2 linked regions of the Canis lupus familiaris genome follow. The protein of the gene in region 1 interacts with the protein of each later gene in a biochemical or structural test. Links are inferred from orthologs where the notes say so. Each region holds a gene or a part of one and is shown in the gene's direction. Other genes may lie near its edges.

Region 1 (3,646 bases):
TTCATCAAAAGTCCCCAAGATGGAAGTGCTGGAAGTTGGTATCCCAAACTCATTCACCCTCAGAAATCGGGAGATCTTGCTGGATGGTGTTGTTTGCCCACACATTGGGCTTCACCACCCTGGGCACCCAGAACCCTCTGGACCTGGCTGTAGGGAAGGGACCTGGCTGGTGTGAGCCAGTCATGATTCCTTGGGTTTCTTCTCAGCAGGGATGTGGTGCATGACAAGCACGCCCTGTGTACCTGTGGGCAGGCCAGCTGACTCCCTCCAGTGTCTCAGCCATGCCAGATTAGAGTTCCAGACCCTCTGGAACTTGCTGTCAATTCTGTATCTGGGAGCACTCTGCATGTCGTTACATAGCATCCTTCCAGAGCCGGGAGTGCCTGGGACATGACCTCACCCTCCTCCACACCCCTAACCCCTGGTTCCCAGGGTGTTGTCAGAGTGATGTTAATGCCTTTCCTCATTCCCTTTATAGGGTCGGATTCCAGTCAAGTGGATGGCAATTGAATCTCTTTTCGATCATATCTATACCACCCAAAGTGATGTGTAAGTGTGGGTGTTGCCTTTCTGGGGTCAAGGTTACATGTATAATATGCCACAATGCCTATCTGGGCAGCGTGGCTGGGACACCAGTGCCTGTTGGCTCATACCAACCATCTGCAATGACTGCTGCCCCTCCCTGCAAGCTGAGGGAGCTTCGTATATTCATTCAGCAAATGGCAGGGACCTGTGCAGTGGTTCTGAGAGTTGCAGTGGAGTGCATGAGAGCCATGAGCAGGTAACTGCAAGTTCCGCTCACTGCTCCCCTTTGCAGCCCCTCCCTCTCCTCTTTGGGCATCTTCATGCCACCCAGGCCCAGCCAAGCAGTTCCCCGGCTGTGGACCTGAGTGTGGGCTGGGCTCAGGCAAGTTCCCCTGGGAGCAGAATGGTCCCCACCCACAAGGAGCGTGGCCTTGAGTGAGTCCCAAACTGCTCAAAAAATGAGAACTAAAAGTTGGCCTTCCAGGTCCAATCATAAGACCAGATAACTTTCAAAAACACAACAGACTTGTTACTCAGTATGCTGCCATCAACAGATGTGCATGTCTTGAATAATGTGGGCTGAGGAAAGGCAGCTCCTGAACAGTTCAAAACAGCTATGTTGAGAGTATGTAAAATGTTGGAAAATGCAGAGAACAGGGTAATGAAGACACTGGAAGTCACTTGGATCCCACTGCCTCTAAGTAGCTCCTGTAGCTCCTGGCCTACATGGGCTTTCTAGTGTTCTCCTTATGTGCAGGTGTATGCTGTCTGTTGCTGTAAGTGGGCTCATGTGACAATGCTATTTTGTAATGTGGTTCGCACTTCACAGTTAAATATTTTTCTATGTCAGGGCCTTTTTTCTTCTAAGATTTCATGAAAATTTCCAAGCCCACAAGAAAGGTGAAAGAATTGGTACAAGCAGCCCTGGGTCTCATGGCCTAGATCCCCGTGACCTAGGTCCCCGCCTTGCACCTTGCTGCACTTGCTCAGCTGCTTTGTGCTGTCTCTGATGCTTCGGTGCATCTCCACAGGGCCAGCCAAGTACCCCTCGTGGGTGTGGGGTCTGAGCTTGGGCAGTGGCCCTCTTGGGCTGCAGCACTGCAGGGGTGAGAGCTGGGCAGGCAGATAGCTTACCCCCACCTCCATTCTACATCCATCCATGAAGTCAGGCCCCAGATGGCTCTTTGCACTGAGGGCTGGTGGGGTGAACAGCTGCTGGGAGGATGGACATATCGTCTGCTGAGGGGAGGACACCGCTGGCCCAGGACAGCCACTCACTGGTTGTCTCACTCCCCTTAGGTGGTCCTTCGGTGTCCTGCTGTGGGAGATTGTGACTCTGGGGGGCAACCCCTACCCTGGGATTCCTCCAGAGCGGCTCTTCAACCTTCTGAAGACAGGCTACCGGATGGAGAGGCCTGACAACTGCAGCGAGGAGATGTGAGCAGGCTTTGCTTTAGCCCAGCCTCCCTCAGACACAGACAATATACTCATTCCCTCCCTGCTCCTGAGCAGCCCTGGATGCAAGCCCAGGGTGAAGCAGGTGGTAGATAGTAACAGGGCAGAGCATGCCAGAAGTCAGAGAGCCACCACTAGGCACCACAACAGATGCTGGGGACTCTGATTCCATTGGGGACTGAGTGTGCTTCCTGAGGGTGTGGGGGAGACTTGGATGAGCGGCAATTGGGAAGGATGAAAGGGTGCCTCAGACCCAGGGAGCAGATGAAACCCAAGGCCTGTCCCTGCAGGATACTTGGGGAGGAGCAGGTAATTCAGAATGAGCCGACAGGTGCATGTTGGGGAGTCCCCACATGGAAGCACAGAGGTCAGGAGGTAGCAGACATAAGGACCCTGCACCACAGCCCAGGAGCCCCAGAGTCTTCACATATGGTGGTTCCAGCAGACAATTCTCAGAGGACAGGCTGAGAACACATGAGAAAGGGACCATCATAGGCAGAAACACACTGGTCCATTCATTCCACAAAATCTGTTGTGTGCTGACTACCCTGGCTCAGGGCTAAATGAGGGAGTGCAGGTGCCATCTCTCTGGGTGGCCTGGGCTGGCAGGCAGCTGGCCCAGCGCACACCCACATAGCAGCCCTGGGGCCCCTGCAGCCATGCCATAGACCCAGAGAAATGAGGAAGTGAGGCAGGTACAAGACAGGTGATTGGCAGATATTTTGCTTGTTTTTTCTACAACCACTTAATATTTCATAAGTGTTTGAAGGACTGGCATTGCTCCCTCAGCCACCATAGTAGGCTTGGCATCCTGTTAGCTGTTTTCTAATACGTCTGAAAAGGAATTGAAAACAAATCTCTCTCAAGGGAAAGGAGACTCAGAAGATGCTGGACCACAACACCAGGCACCCTGAGTGGGCCTAGTGACCCCGTAGATGCTGGCCCAACTCAGAGAAGGATGTCAGTGATGCAGAAATGGCTTTGAGTTTGAGAACAGAGCCTTCTGGGCTGAAGGCACTGTGCTGAGTGTGGTGGCTGTGATTGGGCAATCCTTGCAAGGTCATAACTGCCCATCTGTGCTTCCCGCCAGGTATGGTCTAATGCTGCAGTGTTGGAAGCAGGAACCAGACAAGAGGCCAGTGTTTGCTGACATCAGCAAAGACCTAGAGAAGATGATGGTTAAGAACAGAGTGAGTACCTGGAGCCAGTTCCTTGTGTTGGCCACCTGCACGCTGAACACAGCAGTGGGGGACTCCAGCCTCACCTCAGTTCTATGGAGGTCCCAGTGCAGGGGCAGAGCAAGGCCATGCAAAGGGAGACTGTCATGCTGCCTCCTGAGGGCAGCCTGCAACCAAACCCTTACTCCTTGAGCCAGGCCCCCTCTCAAATCATAAAGAAACCAAGGTTCTTCCCTTTATACTTAGAACTCTCTGCAGACAGATGTGGGAGGCAAATATTCCAAAGTCAAAATAATTTTTAGTAACGGAACATGAAAGAGTGGAAGTTGAAGTAGGGGTTGGAAGTGGCTAGGGAGTAGTTGGGACCATGGCAAAAACAGAGGAGCACGTCTGAAGGACCCCTCAGCATAGCCACATGTAATCTGTAGGAATATGAGAGCCAGAGTGTCAGGTCCTCTAAATTTTAAAGGATATTTGTGTTAAGATTC
Region 2 (3,646 bases), on another chromosome or scaffold:
CCGGGGTCATGCCCTGGGCCGAAGGCGGATGCTCAACCCCTGAGCCACCCAGGCATCCCCACTTTTTTTTTCTTTTAATTTTTAAGAAAAACGTGTTGAGTGTGAAATTCACGTAACAAAAAACCCAGCGCCGGAAGCGTATGAGGTGTTAGTACTCTCCAGGGTCGTGCCGCCACCCCCTCTACCTGGTTCCAGAAGTTTCCGCCGCTCCAGCGGAAGCCCCCTGCCACACAGCGGAGTCTGCGTGGCCCTGCTGCGGACGCCCTGTCAGCGTGCTTCCACGAGGGGAGTCCTTCTGTGTCTGGCCTTGTTCACGTAGCACGATGTCTGGTTGGATTTTTTTTTTTTTTTTTTTTTGAATAAAGGCTTATTTTTGAAAGAGCAGTTGCAGGTTCATAGCAAAGCTGAGAGAAATTGGTGAGCGCTTCCCGCAGCCCTGCGCCGTGCATCCCGCAGCAGGTGGCGGCACAGTGGGCGAGCCTGCGTGGATGCACGGCGGCCCTGGCGTCCTCGGTGTGCAGGAGGGCTGGCGCTCCTTGTTCAGTGGGTGCGCTTGGACACATGTACGATGATGCGAGTCCGTCCTTGGGCTACCATATGGGATAACCTCACTGCCCTAAATACGGGGCTTTTAGTATTTTCCAGAACAACCTCTGGGGAGCAGCTCTGGTGAACAACTAGAGCATCGGGGGTTGGTGTCTTCTGCATAAGTCAAAACACAATAAACCCCTCGTGCCGCGGGAGGTCACTGGTTCGTGCTTCGGGGCCGGGGTGCAGGACAGTGGGCCCGGCCGCACGGCCTCCTCTCTGCCCTTGGCACAGGGGACAGCGCGTCAGCCGGACGCGGTCATGGCAGAGGCTGGGGTGGGAGAAGCGGGATTCGTCCACAGGACACGGCCGCGTCCGCCGTGTTGAGCCCAGGGGCACAGCTGTGCCCTCCCGTGTGCCGACAGGGGGCCCCGCTCCTGGGGGACGCCTGGTGGCCGGGGCACGACACCGCCCGCAGCACCCGGGACAGGCAATGGAAGGCAACGCTCGGTTGTTTTTCGCTTCGACTTTGAACTTGCTTCTTCCGCTGTTTTCCTAACTGCCCCTGATTCCGTTACCGTGGGTGCCCGGCCTCGTCGTAGGACCCACGGGTCTTGCAGCCTTGGGCGGACGTGCCCGCGGGTGGGCAGCGTGGTGCGCTCTCCGCGCTGCCTCGGGGTGGGGGGGCGCTGCGGGGAGTTTCCGAGGCTTCCGTGCTCTGGGGGGGACGCGGCACAGGGCGCTCGCCTCCGATGCATTCACTCCCGACCACCTTTTTGTACAAACGGGCATCGGTTCCACGATGCAGACGAGATGTGCAAAGCCGCTTCTCGTGTTTCCATGCGTTTGGAGGAGTGTTCGCTGCCAGGGCCCTGGGCAGTTATTCTCCTGAAAATGCTCCTTCTCACAAAGCCTCCTCGCCCACCGTTGCCGGGGAGCCGTCGGGGGGCGGGGGGCTGGTACGTGTCCCGCACGGAGCGTCGTCTCTGCTGGGAGCGTTCGCACGGTGCTTCTCAGGCCCGGCTGTGCGGTGAGTGCGGGGATCTGGGCCCTGCGGGTCTGGAAATGGCAGCTTTAAAAGAAAAACCAGAAACAGACTTTTTGTTGCGGAATAACGCACGTACCATAAAATCGGCCGTCTCGACCGTAGGCAAACCAGTTCAAGGTGCTGCGTGTACTTCCGTCGCCGTGATCCCTGGGGCCTTGCTCACCCTGCAGGAGGGAGCCCCCCGCCCCCCGCTCCCTCCCCAGCACCCTGCCTGGTGCTAGCCCGGGGATGGTGACCCGTGACCCGAGGTGCCCCACGGACGTGCCGTCCCGCGCCATCCGTCCTTCTGTGGCTGGCTTGTGTCGCCCGGCACCGTGTCCTCCGGCGTCATCCCGGTGGCAGCAGGTGTCTCCTTATGAGGGTGGAGCACATGTGCTTCCCCGTCCACGCGTCGATGCACGCCGTGGTCGCTCCGCCTCTTGACCGTGGGCACCAGGCCTGCTGGGAACCCGGTACCCGTATCTATTGGAGTTTCCTGGGCTACGTCCCCAGAGGCGGGATTATGGGATCACTTCGGGAGACGGCGGCGCTTATTTATAGGTTATTTATTTATTGGGTTTATTATTATTATTATTACATATTTTTTTACGACGGCAGCTTTTAACCCGCGGTTGTGTCTCTCCCCCCAGACGCCTGCAGGAAGAAGACCAGCAGCTCAGAACCTCGTCTCTGCCGGCCATCCCCAACCCCTTCCCCGAGCTCTGCGGCCCCGGGAGCCCGCCGGTGCTGACGCGCGGCTCCCTACCTCCAGGCCAGGCAGCTGCCAAGCAGGTGAGCGAGCGCCCCTGGCTCGGGCGCCGGCAGGACGGACGCCGGGCTCATTGCCATGCGAGGAAGGGGGACAGCGGGGATCTCTCCTCTTCCTTCTTTGCCTCTTGCTACTTTTTGATTTATTGTCCAGAATTCCACTTGTTAGGTCAGGGGTGCATCTGCGTGTTGTAGAAAGGGGCTCATACAAATGGTGCGAAGTAACGACCTGGTGCTTAAAGATGAATTTTAGCTCCAAGAATATTCCGTTGGCTGGGATCTCTGGATGCATGAGGCGTTTCTCAGGCCCCTGACCGTCCAAGGGTTTGCGTTTGATGTTCCTGCCCTGGAATGTGACCTGCGCACGGAAGATTTTATTTATTTATTCATGAGAGATAGAGAGGCAGAGGGAGAAGCAGGCTCCCTGCAGGGAGCCCGATGCAGGACTCGATCCCAGGACCCCAGGATCACGCCCTGGGCCGAAGGCGGTGCTAAACCGCTGAGCCACCTGGGAATCCCCACAGCCACCTTTTTAAACTAACAGTTTCTACCTTAAAAATAGGCCTGTGAGCTGCATGTTCTGGAACCGCTGTGGCCTGGGGGAACCTGGGATGCGGAGAGCGTCTGTAACTTACCCCAGGTCACATCGTCAGGCTCTGTCCGTCCGGTCAGCGTGGCGGCTGCAGCCTGGGGAGGGAGACCCTGTCGTGCTGCCGTGTGGGCAGCGGTGGCTTAAGTAGGATGCCCACGACAGGAGCATCCGACCTTCACAGGATGGTCCCACTCGCCAAGGATTGTTCTGCGAAGTTTCCATATTTTATTTACTAATTTATTCCTCAAAACACCTTTAGGATTTAGGTACAAATGTTATTTCTGTTTTTTAGTTGGGAAATAAGCCCAGCTGTCGAGTGGGGCCCCGGGGTGAGCACTGGGGCCGAAAGGGACCCCGGGGTGAGTGGTGCGGTTGGGAGGGACCCTGGGGTGAGAATTGGGGCCAGAAAGGACCCCGGTGTGAGCGGCAGGGCCAGGAGGGACTCCGGGGTGAGTGGTAGGACTCTGGGGTGAGCAGCAGGGCTGGGTGGGACCCCAGGGTGAACGGTGGAGCCGGGAGGGACCCCGGGGTGAGTGGTGGGACCCCAGGGTGAGCGGCAGGGCTGGGTGGGACCCTGGGGTGAGCGGCGGGACCCCAGGATGAACAGTGGGGCCAAGAGGGACCCCGGGGTGAGTAGCGGGACCGTAGAGTGAACACTGGGGCTGGGTGGGACCCTGGGTTTAGCAGCAAGACACCAGGGTGTGCAGTGGGGCCGGGAGGGACCCCGGGGT

The links.
Region 2: the proteins of RET (region 1) and GRB10 form a complex in vitro, tested with the Homo sapiens proteins (2 studies listed by BioGRID). The link is inferred for Canis lupus familiaris from reciprocal best matches to the Homo sapiens genes RET and GRB10.

The regions. Positions count from the first base shown.
Region 1 is NC_049249.1:4,103,774-4,107,419, reverse strand, and holds part of RET (proto-oncogene tyrosine-protein kinase receptor Ret), read left to right. Parts: intron 1-478; coding exon 479-549; intron 550-1,824; coding exon 1,825-1,962; intron 1,963-3,070; coding exon 3,071-3,170; intron 3,171-3,646. UniProt on the Homo sapiens protein: Receptor tyrosine-protein kinase involved in numerous cellular mechanisms including cell proliferation, neuronal navigation, cell migration, and cell differentiation in response to glia cell line-derived growth family factors (GDNF, NRTN, ARTN, PSPN and GDF15).
Region 2 is NC_049239.1:2,102,921-2,106,566, reverse strand, and holds part of GRB10 (growth factor receptor-bound protein 10), read left to right. Parts: intron 1-2,205; coding exon 2,206-2,347; intron 2,348-3,646.